Pelodiscus sinensis: one gene and its partners. The protein of the gene in region 1 purifies or fractionates together with the protein of each later gene. This does not show direct contact. Links are inferred from orthologs where the notes say so. Each region holds a gene or a part of one and is shown on either strand. Other genes may lie near its edges. The genes, in order: XPC, H2AX and DDB2.

What was found.
Region 2: the proteins of XPC (region 1) and H2AX purify together in Homo sapiens (affinity purification with mass spectrometry; 3 studies listed by BioGRID and IntAct, counting the BioPlex papers as one, with this or other methods). This does not show direct contact. The link is inferred for Pelodiscus sinensis from reciprocal best matches to the Homo sapiens genes XPC and H2AX.
Region 3: the proteins of XPC (region 1) and DDB2 purify together in Homo sapiens (affinity purification with western blotting; 5 studies listed by BioGRID and IntAct, with this or other methods). This does not show direct contact. The link is inferred for Pelodiscus sinensis from reciprocal best matches to the Homo sapiens genes XPC and DDB2.

What each region holds. Positions count from the first base shown.
Region 1 is NC_134721.1:22,033,745-22,041,201, forward strand, and holds the start of XPC (DNA repair protein complementing XP-C cells), read left to right. Parts: upstream 1-4,422; 5' UTR 4,423-5,257; coding exon 5,258-5,372; intron 5,373-7,457. Other genes in the region: U6 snRNA-associated Sm-like protein LSm3, read right to left, coding at 1,597-1,707, 4,245-4,265. UniProt on the Homo sapiens protein: Involved in global genome nucleotide excision repair (GG-NER) by acting as damage sensing and DNA-binding factor component of the XPC complex. Has only a low DNA repair activity by itself which is stimulated by RAD23B and RAD23A.
Region 2 is NC_134736.1:119,929-126,694, reverse strand, and holds H2AX (histone H2AX), read right to left. Parts: upstream 2,366-6,766; 5' UTR 1,858-2,365; coding exon 1,429-1,857; 3' UTR 594-1,428; downstream 1-593. Other genes in the region: DPAGT1 (UDP-N-acetylglucosamine--dolichyl-phosphate N-acetylglucosaminephosphotransferase), read right to left, coding at 2,663-2,728, 3,151-3,306, 4,044-4,131. UniProt on the Homo sapiens protein: Variant histone H2A which replaces conventional H2A in a subset of nucleosomes. Nucleosomes wrap and compact DNA into chromatin, limiting DNA accessibility to the cellular machineries which require DNA as a template.
Region 3 is NC_134714.1:84,892,445-84,900,274, forward strand, and holds the start of DDB2 (DNA damage-binding protein 2), read left to right. Parts: upstream 1-4,818; 5' UTR 4,819-4,895; coding exon 4,896-4,972; exon of another isoform or gene 4,973-5,281; intron 5,282-6,896; coding exon 6,897-7,084; intron 7,085-7,830.

The DNA of each region.
Region 1 (7,457 bases):
GCTTTTTCCATTAAGCCACCAAGGAAGAACTTAGTAGTACAGTGACACAACACCTATGCATTCATGGAATAAAAGTTCTTACAGGAAACAGATTTGAAGCTTTCAAGATGTCATAAAAGAACCTAAGCAAATGCTTTAATATGACTCTTAATGTAGACATTTATGAACCATAAAAATCCACACAAATATCATCTCCAGTAGGCATGTAAAATTCCATTTAACTGGTTAGCTGATTAAAGGGAGTGGGTTGAGGGCACTCCCCCAACTCACTGGGCTGGAGTGGTCCCTCACCCGCCATGGCTGGGCTGGAGTGGCCCGTGTGCTGCAGGCAAGGGCTGTTCCAGCCTTGCTACTTCCCATTAAGGGGAATGCTTACCGGGTAACCGGTTACACATTTATATCCCTAATCTCCAGTATGCCCACTGAAACTGGATCTACTGGGGTCCAAACCAGTAAGCTGCATCAGAATTTTAGCTACGGTAGCACTCAGAAGGCCTAAGCAAAGATGACCAATCTGAATGCATTACACCAACATGCCACCAACCACACTGGTGCTGAAGCCATTTCCAAATTTTTATCTGCGGAGTAGACCCTTTGGAATTTGAGGACAATACCACATCGCAAATATCAGCTTCTGAGAGTAAGTGGCAGGTCATCTTCACTGGAAATAGTCAGACATGAGCCTGAGCCCAAATACCATTACTTTTAGAGAATGTTTCAATATTATTATTGATGGGAAACTGAGGCATGGAGAGCTAAAGTGACTTGCTCAAGGTCACTCAAGAGCTCAGTTGCAGAAGTGAGAAACAAACCCAGGTTCTGCTGAGTCCCAGTCTCATTTTATAGCCATTAAGTAACACTACTATAAACTAGTTTCAACTAGATTTCTTCTAAACCATCATGTTGGAAAGACACCCAGTAACGGTAGGAAAGAAAATCCAGCACCTTGTCATTCTAAGATAACAAAATAGAAGACATGAATTTCTAAATTTTATAGATACCAAGAAACACTCAGATAACATGTGCCAGGCAAAAAAAGAAATTTCTATACTCTTTAAATAAAAACTTATGAACTTGACTGGTATACCACAATAGAACCAATCTTTAGGGCTGTGTCTAGACTGGCCAGTTTTTCCGGAAAATCAGCTGCTTTTCCGGAAAAACTTGCCAGCTGTCTACACTGGCCGCTTGAATTTCCGCAAAAGCACTTCCTACTGTAAGAAATCAGTGCTTTTTGCGGAAATACTATGCTGCTCCCGTTCGGGCAAAAGTCCCTTTTGCGCAAAAGGACCGTGTAGACAGCTGAGATTTGTTTTGCGCAAAAAAGCCCCGATCGCGAAAATGGCGAGCGGGGCTTTTTTGCGCAAAAGCGCGTCTAGATTAGCCATGGATGCTTTTGCGGAAAAGCGTCCATGCCAATCTAGACGCTCTTTTCCGAAAATGCTTTTAACGGAAAACTTTTCCGTTAAAAGCATTTCCGGAAAATCATGCCAGTCTAGACGTAGCCCAAGCGTATAATTTGCCTGGGCTTTTAGATGTACCTTTCAATGGTTAAAAGTATACTAGTACTAAATCTTTCTGCAGTGTTTTACTTACATGTAATCTGCCTCGAAGTTCTCGATCATTCCTCATTTTCACATAGATTCGTTCATCTAGACTGAGTCTGATCAGATCCAGTGGCTCCTCTACAGTATTTGTTGTTTGTTGCTAAAAATACAGACAGCAGTTTTTGCGATATACAAAAGCCTCAAAAATTTTATGTTCAAAACCGGTCAGTCTCTTTCACGTATAGGATAAAGGTACCTTTCACTTTCAGGTCAGTTATTGGGTCCAGCCCAACCTGGTAGAAACCAAAAATCATTATCATAGAATGAGCATATTGTGGCCTGTATGAAATGACATAAATTTCAGTTAACTTCCTAGAGGACAGTACTATTATCACAACTGGTACCCTCTATTGACAATTTTAGTGGACAGGCCAGAAGTCTGAACAGAAAGGGTACAAAATATAGCTTACATCCTCCAAATTGAGCTCACATGGTCAAGTCTGAGATACTTTGGCAAGGATGTAAAGAAGTTTACACTGCCATTGATTATGCTGTTCTCATTGGTGGAAAATTATTTGTAGTACTGTAGCACCTAGAACAGAAGTGGGCAACCTACATCCCACATGCAGTCCAATGGGGCTCCAACTGTGGATCGCAGACCCTTTGTCTGCCTCCTTCCCCCACACGCCTCTTGTGCACTTGGGCCCTGCACTTTCAACTCCTTTCCTTCCCTCCCAGCCCATTCAGAGCACCACAAATCACCTGATTTATGCCCCATTCTCACTCCTCTCCCTCAGAGCTTGAACAGTTGCGAACGCTGGAGCGGAGTAGCAGGGAAGGAGTGCGAATCAGGTGATTTGTGGTGCTCCAAAAGTGCTGGGAGGGAGGGGAAAGAGTAGGAAATGCAGGGTTACAGGGTCCCAGTGTGCGAGGGGTGCATGGGTAATGGGAGCAAACAGGGGGTGTGCAGGCCACAAGTGGAACCCCAGCAGGCTGCAGACCACTAGTCATACTGCCCACTGAGATGAAGGAGGTCCAACTCATGAAAATCACTATTATTGGTTGCCCATTGCTGACCTAGCGCTCTAGTCCTCAGCCCCACTATACTCAGCATTGCGAAAACAGTACGAAATAGTGGTCCGTTGCCCCAAAGGGATAATGCATTGGGATCTCTGGAGTAAGTATCCAGTATTTTATAAGCTTCAGAGAGGTAGCTGAGTTAGTCTGTAACTGGAAAAACTTAAAAAACAACGAATAGTCTAGCAGCACCTTAAAGACTAACACAACATGTAGATGGTATCATGAGCTTTCCTGGGCACAATGAATGGTATATTCCATTCATCTGAAGAAGTGGGTTGTACCCACAAAAGCTCATGATACCTTCTAAGGATGTTAGGGACTAGTCAACTATCCGATAAGCAAATGCTTATCGATTAGTCAGTCAACTAGCCGATTCACCTCCACTTGTTACCTCTATCACAGAGGCAGCAAAGGGAAGGAGAAGAAGGGGTACTTCAAAGTGGCAGTGCTGCACAGCTGAACTGAGGATCAGCTGTGCAGTGCTGCCCCTTTGAAACACCGCCACCATGTTTCAGCTGGATTCCCCAGCTGATCTCGGGATCAGCTGTCTCGGGTTCTGCTGAAATGCTGCACTGAACCTGGGGTCAACTGGGGAGTCTCCCCGTGACCCTGGGTTCCACGGCTTTGAAATGCACAAGAGCCCCCACTGGGGACTCTTGTACATTTCAAAGAAGGCACACTGGGTGCAGCCCCAAGCGGGCTCTTGTACATTTCAAAGGAAGAATGCAGAAGTGCCTATCGGCTAGTTGAGTAGTTGATGGAAGTTCTATTGACTAGTCAATTAACCACAATTTAAATATCCTTAATACCATCTACATGTTTTGTTAGTCTTTAAGGTGCTGCTAGACTATTTGTTGTTTTTTAAATTTTTCCAGTATTTTATATTCCTTCCCCATTACTTCTTCAGCTTCACTTTCAACAAATCAGACTGCAGTAGAAGTACAAAACATAACAAAATCATACATCTCTTAAGCTTGATAAGAGCACTGCCAATACTGAGGCTCCAGGAGACTGAAACCAGCACTGAAATGACACTAAGACCACAGAGATGTTCGATGTTTTTCAATCACGCAATTAACGGCAAAGATCAACCTAATGAAGACTGAAACAGAAGGAAACGTTTTGATGTAAGCTGCAGTACTGAGAGGTTAAAGATTTGCTGCTCCACAGGGGACTATGGAGTCCGTCTCAAGTCAAAGGCTGCAGCTTTCTGAAACCCTAACCCTTTGCCTGCTCTGCCTTAGTTCGGCAGACCAGGAAAACGGAAGCATCTCCGGTCACGCTTGCTCAAGCCCCCATGGGCTGAGCTGGGGCTCAGGGGCGGGGAGGGGCGCGCTATGGAGGGAGCCGTATGCAGCGTGTCTTTGCTGGAGGGCCGCCGTTCCGCTACACTGTGAGCGGCAAGTTGGGAAGGGCCGGGACATGGGAAACTGGGGAGTCAAGAGGGAGAGACCCCACAGGCGCTCGCGCATCCAGCCCCGTTCATCAACCGTCCCTGCTACGGAGAGCAACGGCAACCAGACGGGAGGGATCCCAGGGCAAGGGGAGAACCGAAGCGCCCCTCCCCCCCCGGGCTCGCGCGGGCTCCGAACGGCGAGGAGAGGAAAAGCCGCTCACCTGGTCCACCTCGTCCGCCATCTTTCAAACGCGAGCCCCGCCTCTTCCCGCGCGACGCCGGCGCGTAGAAACGGCGGGTGGCGACGTCACGGTTGGCGTGGGGGGGCGGCCTCCAAGGGAGGCTAGAGCGGCCGGTGCGTTGCTCAGGCTGGGTGGTGGGGGCGGGGCTTGGCGGAGCAGGCGCGGTGTGCGGCTGCGGACCGCTCGGGCTCGTGCCACGTGGTTCCCCCGCTGGTCTGCGGATTTGGCCCCGGCTGTGCCTCCGCGTCTCCCCATTGCGGTCACAGGGCCTAGCTGTGCCTCAGTTCCCTCCCCCCACCTTTCCGTTACCGGGGGGGCTTGTCGATGTGCTCGTCAGCTCCCCCCCCCCCCCCGGCGTGGCGAAGGAAAGCGAACGCAGGTGCCCCATGTTGTTACAGATGGGGAAACTGAGGCACCCGCCCGGGCTCCTTAGGAATTAATGGGCAATGGCTCCGTGGGCGCGAGAGCCGGCCTAAGGCCCGTGCCGAGTGCAGCGGTGCCCCCGGACTGGCGTACAGTGGGGGCGGAGTACAGCTCCAGCCCCGGCCCGCAGGCACCCCCCGGGGCATGAACTGAGGACGGCGTGAGCCCAGGCTGGGCTTCGGGGGCACGCTGGGAGCAGCCCCGGCCAAGAAGGGGCCATTGGTGATCACTGCCCAACAGGCCTTTGCAGCGCCCAGGCAGCTCTGCACAAACGGCAGCCACGGGCGCTATCCGCCGCCCTTGCGGACTGCCTCTCGGCCGGCCGGGACGGAAGAGACGTCAGGCAGGAGGAGGAGACTGAGGCAGGAGCCGGCTGTGCTAGCCCAGCCTCCCCAGAGCCTTCCTGCAGCTCCAGGAGGAGGAGGAGGGCTCAGGGTGCACGTACGCTTCGGAGGTGGGGAGAGCGTGCAAAGGCCTCACCCAGAGAAGGAGGCTGCCTTCATCTCCGCTGGGTTTGCTTTGTGTCCCTCACCAGTCTGTGGTTGCCCCCCTTGCCTTGAGGAAACAGCATGGCCAAGAAGCGCAAAGGTTCCTTGCAGCAAGAGGCTAGCAGCAAGAAATTCAAGGCAGAGCCTGCTGCAGCAGCCACCAGGGCCCTCCAAACTCTCAGGCAAGAAGGAGAGGGTGAGTGTAGACGAAGACTTTCTTGAGCCAGACCCTGTTGCGAGCAGTTGCATAAGCATCATGGAGAATATACTATCAAAGAGAAGCAGCCCCTGGAACTTAGATGGCAGATTGGGGGTGGAAAATTCATTTGGAGGAATATTTCCCCTTCACATAACATGCTCATTTGGAATTACTTTAAAATGACTTTTAAATCATTCCTCTGTGCTGATAAAGGATTTTTGCTACATATTTCAATGGGACATTTAAAATCTCACTTGTCTTGTTAGACTCTCCTCTCATTTAAACGCAATCCTCTAGCCTACTGTCCAATGTGCATTTCTAATTACAGTAGACTGTGAAGAATAAATCAAACTTCTCTGATATTGTTTATTTATAGCTGTATTTATTTTGTGACATTTTTTCTGTAGGGTTTTTATAGGATTTGTTTAAATGAAACATTTATTTAGAATTGTTCTTGTCTCAGTTATTTGCTGGTTTTGAGCTTACTAAAATAAAGCTTTTGAAATATTAAACAGCAGATGAAATCCTTTTAAACCACAATCTCTTTGCATAGCCACTAAATAGTGTAGTGTTCTTTGTGGTGTTTAACTCCATCTGCTGATCTGTTGTCCCTTATACTGTATAATGTGATCATGACTGATTTAGCTTTTTTTTCCAGCCCCATTACAGTCAACATTTCAATGTTACATAAGCAAAATAGTTTTCTCTTGAGAGAAGTTTCTAGTGCTGTCAGGAAACAATCCACAATTTCTAAACATTTCCTTTGTTACAATGAAAGAGGGAGGATCAAATGATTTGATGAAGCTAAGAAAAATAAAGGTTCTGGATAGAGTACTGCTGGCAGCTTTAATAAATACATGTAATTTCAGCATATCTTTAGGGTATTATTTATGTAAAATATAAGCATGGAATTCAGGTCATTCTTAATGCAAATAATGGTAGAATTTGATTGTATATGTGTTTGTGGAAAAGGCTAACTGAAGGGAACACAATATAATCTTAAATCCTAATTCTGTATTTCTTGTTCATCTAACATTGAGGCTTATAGTTAGTATTTCTGTCACCACATCTTCATTTAGTATTTATCTCTAGATTTCACATAGTTGTTGAAGATGATGTGGTGTGACTTTCAAGCAGTCTGTTTCATTCCTTAATTTAGAAGAAGCCCTATGAAATGCTACATTTTCAGAGTGATGTGGTTTTTTTTAACTGCTTTATCTGCTGTATTGGATTTGATCTTGCAAAATGCTTAACTCCTGGTCAATGAAAGTGAAGGCCTCAGGAAATCAGGCCTCTCAAAAACACACCATTCAAGAAATAATGGTTTTAGAGTCATTGTAGGCCTTGATTGAATTCTGTTGAACTCTTCATTAGGGATGTTAAAATGTGTTTGTTTATGTAAACATGTAACCACTGAAAAATTCAGCTGTTACACATTTACATGCATGCAGGAGCTTCCCCTAGCTCCCCATATGTATACGTTAATGTCCCTTGTGTATATGCAAAACCCTTTTAAAGACTGGAGGCCATTAGGGCCTAAGAGTGTGGTGTCATGGATCAATTCACAATATTAGTGCCTTTTTAAAACAAATATTTAAAGTACGAAAACCACTCTCCTTAGTACATTTTCTCTCAAAGTTGCTTTTTAAAAAATTCATTGGATTTGAACCAATATTACTGCTTTCAGAATTGGGCCCATTGTGAATGTCCAGCAATAAATGCAGTATTGCCAGACCCAGATGTTCAAAAATGTGACTCAGACCCCCTGGAATGTATGGGGATTGGCATAAAAATCATAAGACTATAACATCAGAAATCTCTCTCCACTTTTCTTGCTTCTCTCAGGCTTCCAGGAGCTGTATGTTTACAACAGATAATCACTGCTTATTAGAAAATAAAAACATCTTAAAAGTGACCTGCAAAAGTTTCTCCAAAATGGGATCATTATTAAGTAATGAGCTGAATGTCAGACATAGTCACAAGCAGAGGAGTATTCAGCTAGTAAATGACGAAATGCAGCTTTGGAAAAAAATCAGCTCCTTCAAAATTACGTCTGCTGCCCTTCTCTACTATACTGACCAA
Region 2 (6,766 bases), on another chromosome or scaffold:
TAATGGATGATGCTTAGATAAATGTTTATTCACTGCTATAAATCAACACTAATTGCATTCATTTAAAATTGTCAGACCAAATTAACCAGAGCAATGGTGTCTACAAATGCAACGTATCATGAATTTTCTTTGATCAACTTAATTTCCTTCCAAGCTTAGCAGCAAACTCCATAGTGGAAGAGAATATGCATTTCAACTAGTGATTAATCCCCTTCATTTTATAAGCCAGTACGAATGTATTGTAGAGGCCTTTCAAATTGTGAAATGCAGAGATGGTGTTTTGTAAATGAAACCATGTTTAAATATCTCTAACACCTACTAACTATTTTACTTTCATGTGGAACTGGTTCCAGGGCCATGTAATTTCTTATGTGCATGAAATATGCCCTTGAAATCCTCCAAATAGCAGGGATTGTGCCTGACAGCTGTCCAAACTGTGTATTTGATTTAATTTTGTAGGTACAATTACATTTTCTCACATTTGAAAAATGTAATTGAACCTCCACCCTTCAAATTCAATGCACAAACTAGGAAAATGTAAGTTTTGAGCAGTGCTCTTTTCCATGCTGTGTACAACCAATTACTAAGATTCATTTTTTTGTTGCTGGCCACTATTTTATTACACACAGTACATTTTCAGGGATATACAAGCAATGAAAGGCTACTACAGCAGATTTAGAAGTATCCAAATTAAAGGGCATGGCAGAAAGAAATACTGGATGTTTTACTAACAAGTTTTGTACTAATTCAAATTGTCTCTGGTTTGATTATGTAGGTGGAGCAAGCTGCTGTGTGCAGCTGCTGTCTTGCAACAGATCAAAGTTGGTTTCACTGCAGCATGAAACTAGTAAATAGTAACATTTTAGAGTACACCAATACAGTAGTGTAATCGCTGCTAAGTGAAAGTCTCCCACTGTGGAGTCCGTGGGCTCCGTAGTTTACAATACTTAGGATGGTTGTGCTTGATCCCAGACAAGATGTTCTCAGCCTTAACATTAAACGGGTAGAGCCTCAGATCGGTGATACGTGGGACCAGGCAACTAAACAGTCTGTGCCACAGCTGCTTCCTGGTGCCAGCGTTTCGCAGTTCTCCGGGCACCGTAACAGGACGGACTCCAGCCTGGCCGCAAGCAACGCTCGGGGCGCGGCCCCACCTGTGCACGTGGAGCCCGCTCGTCCCGCCTACCAGCGTTACGGCTCAGTTCCCAGAAATACGGAAGCCCCTGGCGCTGGCACCGGGCAGATCACGGGGACCTCGCCTCGTTCCCCTGGTGTGCAGCGCGCGGCCGTGGCCCGGGGAACGCCTGCCTAGCGGGGCGCAGCGCAGCGAGGGGGCCGCCCCTCCAGGAAACCCGCCCCGGATCCGCAGCTCTTTCGCTGAGCCTGGGGCGGCCCTGAAAAGGGCCTTTGGGGGGGGCGGGCGGGCGGCTAATACTCCTGCGACTGCTGCCCGCCGCCCTTCTTGCCGCCCTTGGCCGGGCCGGGCCCGCCGCCCGCTTTCTTGGGCAGCAGCACGGCCTGGATGTTGGGCAGGACGCCGCCCTGCGCGATGGTGACGCCCCCCAGCAGCTTGTTGAGCTCCTCGTCGTTGCGCACCGCCAGCTGCAGGTGCCGCGGGATGATGCGCGTCTTCTTGTTGTCGCGCGCCGCGTTGCCCGCCAGCTCCAGGATCTCCGCCGTCAGGTACTCGAGCACGGCGGCCAGGTAGACCGGCGCGCCCGCGCCCACGCGCTCGGCGTAGTGCCCGCGCCGCAGCAGCCGGTGCACGCGCCCCACGGGGAACTGCAGGCCGGCGCGCGACGAGCGGGACTTAGCCTTGGCCCGGGCCTTGCCGCCGCTCTTGCCGCGGCCGGACATGGCGCGAGAACAGAAGGGGGCAGGAAAAGGACGCACGCGGCCCAGCGATCGCCTCCCACGTCAGCAAGGGCCACTGCCTGCCACAGCCAACTGCCCCGGCGCCCGCCGCGCGCGCTTTCTTTTATAGCCGCTGCGCGATGACGCTGCATTCCGCCATTGGCTGGTCATTCAGATTCTCTCACGGATTGGTTCGGCTCAGGAGCTGGCCAAACGGTATGCATTTATTGGCTGCCCGAACAGGCCAATCAGAAGGCAGGGCGCCAAATTCAAACGGAGCCCAAAGCCTAATAAGGAACCGAGCAGCCTCATTCTCGTTGCCAGTGTCCAGGGTTCCACCCCGTGAACTGGCCCTTGGCAGGGGCTGCCACTGTGCGAGCATCCAGGGTGAATCCATTCTGCCCCGCCCCCGGGGGCAGACCCCCATTCTGTAACGTGTGAGTAGGATGCTCTCCCCCTTTGGGCAATTGCTTGAGTGACAGAACAAATAGACATGGAGCCCTCTTCCCCTGCCCACAGGTAAGAAACTTCACGTCCTATTGGCATCTGGTCCTTGGTTTAACGACACTGCAGGTCCACAACACTCAGGTAACATTAACACCCGCATCCGACCAATGGCCTCTGCCCAACCCCATCACAGAAAAAAATTCAGCTGAGAGAGGCCAGTGTAAGAGTCTTTACTCACATCTGGGAAGGGGGCCTGTGACTCTGAGACAGAGCGAGATTCCTGCTGCCATGTGGCAGGGAACTGAAAAAGTAAAAGGTAGATCAGGAAGTGCTGGAGTTTCCCTTACCACTGGCAGCGCAGTCAAACATCATAGAACAAGCGTACTAGTTGGTACCGGATCAAAAAGGCAATGGTGCTGCCCACTACCTACAGAGGAAAAAAATAAGGAAGATCATTGGAATCCATTTGTGCTAAATACTTGACCGAGTGGTATAAAGACAAGATCCCTTTGTCAAACAAACTACATCATATGACCCACCTCTGTAAGTAACACAGAAGTTAATTTAAAATATTTCCATGCCTACTTTCAAAGGGGTGTGTGGGAATGAGAAGACTGGGCAAGATTATTCTCTCCGAGGAGCAGTATGGTTCTGTATTGCAGAGCCATAGCTAACTCAGGCAGGTGAGAGACAGCCCCCGCTTTAACAAGCTACTTGGTATGGTGGAAGTAAAGATGTAAAGATAAGTGAAGGGGTGAAATCAAAATGTTCCCTGTGCCTGAGAATTTTAGTGTGGACCTACATCCACAGTAGAGTAGGCCCTCCTGTCTGCGGGAGCATTTGCCTGACCTGGATAAGAAGCAGCAGAACAGTGAGGGTTTGCTCTGAGGTTGGTCCAATAAGCTTTATAACAAAGTTAATGAGCGTCATGTTGTTGCACTCTGTGTATTCTTCATCTTCGTCTAATTTCTGTCTCACATCCACTATATGAAAGGTTTCTGATACCTGGGGAAGAGAAGTATGTTAATCGATCTTTAATTAGATACATTATGGCTGCGTCTACACTGGCATGATTTTTCACAAAGAGAGTGTCTACACTGTCATGTGCTTTTGCGCAAAAGCATCCGTGCCAGTGTAGACGCTCTCTTGCGCAAGAAAGCTCCGATGGCCATTTTAGCCATTGGGCTTTCTTGTGCAAGAAATTAACGTTGCCTGTCTACACTGGCCTCTTGCACAAGAATACTTGCACAAGAGGGCTTATCCCTGAGTGGGAGCGTCAGAGTATTTGCACAAGAAGCACTGATTTTGTACATTACAATGTCTGTTCTTGCACAAATACTCGCAGCCAGTGTAGACAGGTGGCAAGATTTTGCACAAAAGCGACTGCTTTTGAGCAAAATCTTGCCAATGTAGACACAACCTATGTGTTTACTACTTAGAGCAGGGGTGGGCAATAACCCCTTTGGATGGGGGCACCACTTCATGAATTTTAATTCATGGTTGCAGACTGGCTCTGGCCCCTTAGGAGGGACGGAAGCCTTGGGCAGAAAGGGGCGGATCCCTCTGGGTGGGGAGTGGAAGACTTCATGCACACCCCCATTCCCAGGCCAATTGGGACCTAGGAGTGCGGAAAATCATTCACTGTTCAAAACAGCTGGTGGTTCCCTCTAGGCACTGTGTGCCCGTGGCATAGAGTGTGTAGTTGATAACAGAAGACAATTTTTACTTATCTCTCAAGGTACCTTTAGAATATACTTTCCCAGTGCTGAAAGACTTTTGGTTTTGAATTTGGAGTAGCTCATTTCCAGCTTCCCTGTTCCAGGATTGAGCCTGAAAAGAACATTGAAATATTAGTCCAGTTGCACCAAAGAGGCTAAATCTCTCTATAAAAGCGGGGGGGGGGGGGAAGACATCTGGAGTAATCCTATACATGTAGACTACGTCTACACTGCAGGCTTCTTGCGCAAGAACTGTTTTGCGCAAGAGTTCTTGCACAAAAATTCTTGTGCAAGAGCACGTCCACGCTACCATGTGCTTTTGTGCAAAAGCAAGAGCTCTTGCCCAAGAGGGCTTATTCCTCGTAAGGAGAGGAATAACTCTTGCACAAGGAGCCCTCTGTTCCGACACTTTACTGTAAATGTACTTGTGCAAGAACGCGTGTGCAGTGTAGATGCTCCACAAGTTTTTGCGCAAGAACAGCTGTTCTTGCGCAAGAAGCCAGCAGTGTTGACGTAGCCATAGTAGTCCTATAGGAGTCTCAGATGTGTAGCCACTCAAATAAGGCAGGGGCCAGAAGAATGTTTTGTGGGTAGTGTGAGGGGCAGTCAGCTGGGTTGCAGAAAGTTGTGGCAATTTCAAGGCAACATAGAAATTCCCACACATAGAAAATTGACAGTTCGTGTAGCATAGAACTGATAACAGAACCTTAGAGATGGCATAAACACTTCACTCTTCCCTGTGTTTTATAACACTACTAAGGAACAGTGTTTCAACTCTGCTCTTTACAGGGCTATAACATTATTTGTTAACACAGTTCTAACTCCATCTACAAAGCATCACCCAAACATATTAGGGACAGCTGCACTGTGAGTAGATCACTCAGTATGGCAGATTTTACATCACACACACAGACTTGGTGTTAGATACTGGTTAATTCAACAGTTGAGTAACTGCATGAATTCCTATTGTTTACTCAACTATTCTATAGGCCCCAGGGGCGGGGCCAGTTTGCTCTGCTAAATACTTTACTGAGTGATATGCCGACAAGGTCCCTTTGTCAAACAAACTACAGTACATCATGGTACTTCTGTGTTACTTACAGAGGTTGGTCATTTGCAGGAGTTAATTTAAAATATTTCTATGTCTACTTACAAAGGGGTGTGTGGGAATGAGAAGACTGGGCAAGATTATTGGGGTGCACTCCTGGGGAGCACTCTAACATTCTGCACTGCTGCCTCGGTATAAAAAGGCAGCAGCATGGGGTGCCAGGCAGGAGCCAGTCCACAAGGGGAGCCACGGAGTGGCAGCAGCCCTGTCTGCAAGGGTCCAAACTCCCCGCACACAGAGGCTGCTGGAGAGTGGGAAGAGGAGGAAGAAAGGCAGCCAGGAAGGAGCTTCTGTCCACAGCAGCCTGGGTTGCCCTGAAAAGAAGCTGGCCCGGCAGCAGCCCCTGTCCACAATGGATCCAGGCTTACCACAGACAGAGGCGTAGGGAGCTCAGAACCTGGGCCTGCAACGAGCAGACTACTTCACAGCAGCCTCCCCTGCCCTCTTCACCCCACACTGGTATGTCTAATAAAGGCAGAAATGGGAGGGGAGGGGAAGAGGGGGAGGGCAGCACCGCATAGCCAGTGCTGCGGTGAAAACCAGCTTTTAAGCCAGCTCCCTCCTAGCATTGGCTCCTGTTTCCCTCCTCACCCCCTGATACAAGACAGCAAGCGGGGGGGGGGGGGGGGGGGGGGGGGGGGGGAAGAAATGCAAATAGTAAAGAAGATTACCAATGAGCCTAGGCTTATCTGTTCATTGTATACTTGACTTCTTTATATCCCTAGTCTGTATTAAGCTTTCATAGTACTAAAAGGTCCCATCATTAGACCCCTGCGTGGATATAAAATTTGCATCTGTGTCCATAAAAATGAGCTGCAGATATTTGCCTCCACATTCACAAATCTGGATACCCACATATATATATAAAGCAGATATCTGTAGATTTTTAGGGCTCTTACAATCAGGACTCTACAGTTCACACCTTCTTTCTAGGACTGGGTATACAATAACTTGTGATGGGGGGCCGCTCCCAAGATTTTGGAAAGCAGCCAAGAGCTGTACTCTTCCATGGTATTAATGGAGGAGAAGTGGGGTCTGGGAAGGAGGTTGGGTACAGAAGGGAGCTTGGGGTAAAGGATTGGAGTGCAGGAGGAAGAATGGAGTCTGGGAGGGAGTTTGGGTGAATCAGGTAGTTGTGACCTAGGGTAGGAGGGGACTGTGATCTCAGGCAAGAGATTAGGGTGCCAGATCTGGGAGGGAGTATGGGTTCATGTGGAGTAGCGGGGCAGGAGTGGTTGGGGAAGGGAGAGGCTGAGGTGCCAGAGGCAGGTTCTCCCCAGATGACATGCCAGCCTGCCTGCAGAGCTAAAGACTTACAGAGCTTAAAGTGTTTTTGCCTACTCGGCCATGTGCTTGAGTGTGAGCAGGAGGGTTGTCCTTTGTGACTGCCTGTTATTCACACAAACAGCTCCCATTGGCCAGTGTCTGTCCAGAAACTGGCCAATAGGATTGTGCTGGGGGTGGGAGCAGCGGCTGAATCTCCCCCCCTCCCATCTGGACTCAAAGAGAAAGCACCCCATAGCTGTGTTTCTGAGTGGGGTGCAGGGCTCTTGGGCAAGCAGGGGAGCCTGCTGGTCTCCGCAGGCCATATTTTGCCCAGGCCTGTTCTAGTATGATGCCAGTTCCCAGGACATTATTA
Region 3 (7,830 bases), on another chromosome or scaffold:
AGTGGGCCACTGGTGAGGCATCACTGGAAAGACCACCTCTCTGGAGTCTGGGTGGACCATCAGTAGGAGAAATCTGGGATAGGAGGCTCTTTCTGCATTTCTTAACACGTTTTCACGTCTGTCAGATAGGGTTGCCAACCCTACAAGATTGTCCTGAAGTCTCCAGGAATTAAAAAAAAATTTTAATTAAAGGTTATGTCATGTAATTAAACCTCCCAGAATGTGTCCACCAGAACTGGCAACCCTAATTTCAGCCAATTAGCTGACCTGTAAGGATCATTGAACCAATCTGGCTGGCTGAAGGGAGACTAAGGGAAGGTCTGGGAGACTCATCTGTTGTTGTTTCTCATACTCCCCCCTCCCCCAAAAAAGTGGAGAAGCCACTCCCCATCCATTTCCTCTTGCCATATTTTAGCTTTTGCTCTTCCTGGTGCAGGAAATCAGGAGTTTCACCATTGCCTTCTTTGGCTGTTGTTTTTGTGTCCCTCCCTGCTCTACCTAACTCATTAGGAGTCTGCAACTTTTTATCTGAAAATGCCATCTACTTTCTGAACAATTCGGTGCTTTTAAGTCCCTAAACTGGAGTTAATGTAGTGTAGCCTGAACCCTCCATGTTCAAGATTCCAAAGTTTATGTCCCTCAAGGCAATTGGCCACGATATATGACATGATTGGGAGTCCTAAGCAGGAATATTTTGCCCCCATCATATACTAATGATTAATAGGAGGCCTTCTGGAGTTATTTGGGACTCTAAGCAATTGCTTAGTCTGCTTTTGCTTACTGCTGGTTCTGAGGGCAGGTTTTATATTTTGGGAGTCAGTGAGACTTGGTGCTCCTCTTTAATTTTTCTCATTAAATTATAGGGTTCCCAATGATGTTCATTCAATAACAGTAACAAGAAAAGACTGAGGACCTTAGGGCTGAAAGGAAAGGGCAGCTCTGCCCAGCCCAGGAACCTTAGGAATCTATTTCTTGGTGCTGTTTTGTTTGCCAAGTGTTCTGATATTTGTAGATATCTGGAACTGATAGATAATTTAAAAGTTGCCTCAGGTTTCCTGGGAGCTAGAATGGTAACTCCTGCATCGTGGGGCCCTTCTGAGATGCATACTATAGAAAAGAGAGTCTAATGTCTGAAACATCTTTTTGTTCCCTTTACTCTGATAATTATGTTTTAACTTGAGTGGTCATCCTAAAACAGTCCCACAGATGGGCCCTGTTTATAATAGATCAAAAAGTACATCCTTTCCACAAAGAGTGTTTGAAAATCCTTACCCAACCTTAAGTTAGCTCCATGGGAAATAATAGGTAGCAAATGAATTTCCCTTTTCATATTTTCAGGGGGAAAAAGAGGTTTGATCAGTGTTTTTCAGCATAGTGTGATGTTCACTCATGGCTTCATTAAATTCCAACATGTTAGTTAAATTACCTACTTTACATGCATTTCCAAAGTATGAAAATGACAGAAACCTTGGGTAATTGTCATAGGAGAAGTGTATCCAGGTCACAGCGTTTGGGATGTGATCTTAGTACACCTTCCTTTTGTACAGGATGGGATTTCATTTTCTGTTTGGGGTTTCGTCTCCTGTGTCCATTTGTCCATGTTGTCTATTACTGATCATGGCATGATGCTCTATTGCTATCTTTATCTCTTCTATCTTTTTCCTTTCTTCTTGGGTAGGAGTGGCTATAAGGAGGCAGAGCCTCCTGGTACAGGAGGAGGTCGAAGAATGTGATATTCTCTATGACATGTTTTCTCCTCTTTTTGGACTACATTCTTGCTTCCATATACTGACCTAAATTGAGTTACTGTGATGTTACTTTCGCATCAAATAGCAAGACTTTGTCACAAATGAGGAGCTTTGGAACAGAGCAGGACAAGAACCACTTGACAGTCAAATCAAGAGAAGGAAGTGGAGATGGCTAGGCCACACTCTCAGAAAACCATCATCCAGCATAGCCCATCAAGCTCTCACATGGAACCCGCAAGGAAAACGCAAAAGAGGAAGACCTCGGACACCTTGGAGAAGATCTGCTGAGATTGAAGGACAACAACTGGGGTACTCCTGGAGTCAGCTAGAAGTTTTGGCTCAAGACAGAGTAAAGTAGATGACCTATGCTCCACTCGGAGTACAAGGGTTTAAGAAGAAGAAGAAGATGTTACTTTCTCTTAAAATGGCATAATCAAGTAGTCAGATAGAAGCAGGAGCTTTTGATTTCTTATAGCAGAGATCAAGGTATTGGGCAGCAAAAAGCCTATTTATACTATATATACCTTTAAGCATACCAAGCCACCAAGTCAGGAGCCACAGTTACAGTGTTTTTTTTTCTTTATCTTGGTACAACTTAATAGAAATGATCATAACCATATAAAAATTATAGGTCACTGACAAAGGATGGAAAAATAAGGATAAGATCCCATCCATCCTACAGTTAACAGGATCCCCAGACTTGGTTGCCTTCGTACTATCAGTGGGTCTTAAGAGACTAAAAATTGTAAATAAAAACAACAAAAATATTATATTCAAGTAAACCCTATCACTGGGATTCCCAATGCATCTGGTTTTCTCCATTCCTGCTTTTTAGATTGTAAGAACTCTAACGCAACTCTTTTAGTGAACAAGTTAGTCCTTAACCAGTAAAAATAATCGCAAAGGAATCTGGTGAATCTCCAGAGTGAAACTAAACCTTGTGTTAGTGTTTGATAAGAAATAATTATTTATTAATTCCATTCTAGCTAAGTGAAAAATCTAAAGGTTGCTATGTGTGTACTCCTCTGGGCAATGAATTTAACGTAAATGAGGTGAATAGGATAGTGTGAGTGTTCGCATCTTTGCTGGAGACAATTTTTCTGCAAGTCTGAGGTAACAGAACCACAGTTTACTACAAATCTGTTGAAGTCAACAGAAGTTTTTCCAACTATTTCAATTGGGTTTTTATCAGGCCTTTTTTTCAGTGGAAAAGATTGAAAATGTACACTTTAAAAATTCTGTGGAAAGCAGGACAGATTAATACTTCAGTAATGTAAACTATAATTTTCTGCTTGCTATTTAATGAGATATTTGAATCTCATGGAACCTCTATCCTCCTTTTGATCTCTCTGCATCTATTGAAGCTGTTGACTAAACTCATCTTGCCTGCCATGAACAAGAGGAGAATTTTCCTATAGTTTCCTTTCCTACAAGTTTAATACTGTAGACTTTCAAGACGTCAATGTGTGTTCAGTGGGCGGATGGCTTGCAGAGAGGTGCTAGTTTGATTTAGTGCCAAATGTGTAGTAGGAGTATTTTGCAAAGACATATAATAAGACAAATTATCATGAAGTGCCTGTGTTGATATTTATATTTATACAGAAATAGATACTTGTTTCTTATGTGTCATGTCATTGTTATTTACAATTTTGTGATGTTATATTCCAGTAGACAAGCATGGTTTGTATGTGTTTTAATGTAGCATAGTGACATGGAAGACAAGCATAAGAGTTCATTGTAACATTTTTTTTTACTAAAACATGGACAAATGGATGAGTGGACTATAGCCTTTCTGTAAAGTTATCAACATATGAATAACAGGCTGATATCACACTAGATGCAATGGAATGTAATTTTAAGTGGGGGTTGTTTTGTCCTAATTTCTTGAATGTTGTTAAATGGAGCATTAACAAAGGTCCAGTGATCTGATTTTGTCATTTGATTTCAGCTGTGATTTGTACCATATCTTCTATTTTTTTAGACACATCTTAAACAGAATATGTGAATGTTGACATTTTGAATTCATATTTTGTATTATAAAATCCACTATGGACATCGTCATGCAGCTCCAGTGTCTTTGTTTGGTGCTCTAGAAATGCATACGATTGAGATTGTTTGTGGGGCCCATGTCTAACAATGTGATTAATATATTTGATGACAACCTAAGTCTTTTGGTAACCTGTTGTCTGTGACTAGACTGTTCTGATCCACAGGCAGTTCCAATAAAAGTGAGTATGGTAAAAGATCTACTCACATGTACTCCAGAAGAGAGTCAGGCTGGTTGTGTTAATTTTGTTGCTGATTCTAAGGTGCAGATAAAAATGTTACTTTCCGCTAGAATTCTTTCCACAGCAGGGAGGCTGTGGGATTTGGGCAATGTTTGCTAGTGATAAAAAATGGGGATCCTAATTCCAGGCTGTTTGTGTGTGACTTCTTTGTTCCAGCATCATGCAAGGCACTTTAGAAAATTGTCTGTTTTATATTTGTCTGTTACTCTGAAACTGCGTTTAGAAGATTTAGGATAGATATTGGTTGCTGTGCCTTTGCCTGGTGTGGTCAGAGAGAGTTGTAACTGCAAGTGTTTGAGAAGAACTAACGTTTGTAGTTTGCATTGTTGTAACACTACTGGCACAAATGATTTCTGACCAAAAAGCCAAAAGAACTGTTCCAAAACCATTTATTCTGTTACTTCCCACATTAGACTAGGAATCGTGTCTGAGAAGCTGGAGAGCTAGGGGGTGGGGAGTGCTGAGGCCTAATTTCTAGGTAAGGTTTACTGGGCTCAGTATGGTGGTGCAGAAGGTAGGACACAGCCAAGCTGGGCAGGGCTGATACAGCCCCAGGCATGTATCTGAAAGGCCTTGAGAGTTCACCACCTTTTGCTGAGCCCCTCTAGCCCTTGATGGGGACGATGCAGCTCTCTGGCCAGGAAGGCCCCAGCGGAGGCCTCGCTGCTCTGCGGAGATTCTAGGGCTACCAGGACGGAGACGACTCCCCCCTTCCCCGGCTGGATCCGGGTGTCTCCTTTCTCCCGGGAAGGGGCCGGGAACGCTGCAGCAGGAAAGCTCGCGGCGGGAGCAGCAGCAACAGGCCGCTTCCCTACTGCGGAGCCGGGACCCCGAGCGCCGCGCCCCCCGCGGCCGGGTTATGAAACAGTCGGGCCCGCCCTCGCCCTGCGCGCTGGGGGCTGGGCCAGACCGGGTAGCGGAGGCCGCGGGAACCAGGTGAGGAGCGCGACCCGCAATCCTCTCCCGCCGTGCCAGTCCGAGGGCCTTGCGGGAGACCGGCGTAGCAGCCAGCGGCTCGGAGCAGGGCGGGGTCCTGCCCAGGACTCCTGAGGTGCCGTCAGCTGCCTGCTTGCGCCCGGTGCCCTGCCCGAGTGGTTACCGCTGGGAGGCTGTAAGGGAAACTGAGGCGGGGAAGGCCTCCTTCCAGATCACACGGTGAGGCACTGGCAGAGTCAGGAATACAACCCACGAGACCTGGCTCCTGTTCCATCAGCCCCTCTCTCCGTACAGCCTCCTTCCCCTCTGGTACGTGCAGAGAGCACATGGGAAACCTCCCAGTATGCACCTGGTGAATCCTCTTCCTAGCATTGCCCTAGCATGTGCCCCACCCGTCAGCTTTAGAAATGGTCCCCTCTCCAGAGAGGGGTGCCCCCCGGGTGGCACTGCAGGAGATGGGCTCTGGCTAAAGCCGCGGGGCCTGGTTTTAAGCGTGAAAGGAATCAACCAGTAAATCTTTGAAGACCGTTTATGCCATGCTGCCAGTCTGTGGCTTGTGACAGTCCAAAGTCACTGGTGCTCCTCACATTCAGCCTCGGATATACTGTTCCTAATATACTCTGCTTGATTCACACTTCAGTTCTTTCCTAAACCAGGTCATATGACAACAATGGCAACAATGTGATGTGTGGGACAGTTAAAATGGAATTGGTGCTAACTAAGCTAGTTCCTGGATGCAGATTTAAGGGCTGGAGACAACAGGGTGTGTTGTGAGTCAGAAGTGAGGGATATCAGCAGGGCTGGGTGATCAGGATTTAGAAAAGCAATGTTCTGCAGGGGATGGGCTGAGCTGCGTGGGCCTCCAAATGGGAATAGCAAAGTGCTGGAAGTGGGCATTGGGGTGCTATTTGGAGAAGCTTGCACAGTGTATGTCTAACTATATTTAGCTATAGTCAGACATCTGTGACATTTATTCACAAACTAAAAATAAAATATGCCACTGTCAAAGGATCAACTTCTATTATATTTTTCATAGAAGCCCCTTGGGATCTGCCATTGAAATGTTCTACTTTGGAATCTCCTAGGTGGAGTAAAAGGCTTTTCACTTTGCGTTGTGGTGGGGGAGTTTAATTTGTTAGTATAAAGCAATGTTTCTCAACCAGTGGTATGAGTACCCTTAAGGGTACTCGAGAGAAGTCTGGGGGGGTACGTCAACGCAACTGAAATTTGGAGAAAACTGAATTTTTGTTTTACGTTTTACAGCAGACTGTTCTTTTTGTACTTTCTACACCCAAAAATTTCATTGCCCACCTGGCTACGATGAAGTTGTTTAAACAAACGTGTTGCAATGGTAGAAAAAAAAATCGTGTGTCTGAAAACTGTAGGTACTGGGGGTACTTATAATTGTTTTTAAAGTGGTACTTTATAAAAACAAGGTTGAGAAACACTGGTATAAAGCGTTAAAATAGAGGTCTACATTTGTGTTGTGTCCCAAAATCTGTATGTGTGTGTCAAGGAAAAGGAGGGAGTGCCCAGCATTTTCAGTTTTCTCACCACCATAATATTTAGGATCTTGATTCATGGAAATTTGAGTTGACTAAAAAATAAGTTTTGACCGTGCTTGGTGCCAGAGCCTAGTGAAGCCTCTTCAAAAAGCAGTGAGTCTCACCAGGGAGCTCATGTAGCAATGTGGGCTGCTGCAAAGACGCCTATGGCATTTTGTGCAGCTCAGTGGTTTTCAAATTTGAGAATTTTGTTGAGAGAGAGCAGATACCTGATTGCTTTAAAAGCTAATTGTTAAAGGCATAAAGAGCAGCTTTTTGATCCCTATTACCCTCCCCACAACAGTGGAAGCAAAAAGCCAGAAGCAATGACAAATCCTACTTTCCCAATTTTGTTTTTTGTTTTGTTTTTGTACTTTTAGGAAGGCAGACAGAATGACACCTGAGAACCAATCAAAAGACAAGATGCATGCGAGGGTGCATGAGCATCATCTGGAAGAAAATGCACAGTCAACTTGGAAGAGGAAACGAGACCATGAAGAACTGGAGAATGAGCCACAAGCAAAAAGATTGTTTCTGAGGAAAGCAGCCAAACCCCCAGGGAAAATTGGTAATGTTCCCTCAGATTCTCACTCTTTCTGCCAATCAGGACTTCAGAGAATGAAGGGCGTAAACCAGACTTTCAGATAGCTGAGGTGGGGAGGTGTCAGGGAACTAGCAGCCTGTTCAGACAAGACTTTTTTGAACTGAGTTATGTTTCTAAGCGAGGGGTGGAGATATGTGGGGACATTATTTTCAGCTATCTGTTTGGAAACTACTGTTTGTGTGTGTGTGCATGTGCATGCATGTGTGCATATGCAGCATTTTATAAGTCATTGCTTTTATAAATACATTAAAAGCAAGAGGAAGACCAAGGACAGGGTAGGCCCACTGCTCAGTGAGGAGGGAGAAACAGTAACAGGAAACTTGGAAATGGCGGAGATGCTCAATGACTTCTTTGTTTCGGTCTTCACCGAGAAGTCTGGAGGTGTGCCTAACGTAGTGAATACAAGCAGAGAGAGGGTAAGTTTAGAAGATAGGATACCCAAAGAACAAGTTAAAAATCACTTAGGAAAGTTAGATGTCAGCAAGTCACCAGGTCCTGATGAAATGCATCCCAGGATACTCAAGGAGCTGATAGAGGAGGTATCTGAGCCTTTAGCTATGATCTTTGAAAAATCATGGAAGACAGGGGAGATTCCAGAAGACTGGAAAAGGGCAAATATTGTGCCCATCTATAAAAAGGGGAATAAGAACAACCCAGGAAACTACAGACCGGTCAGTTTAACGTCTGTCCCAGGGAAGATAATGGAGCAG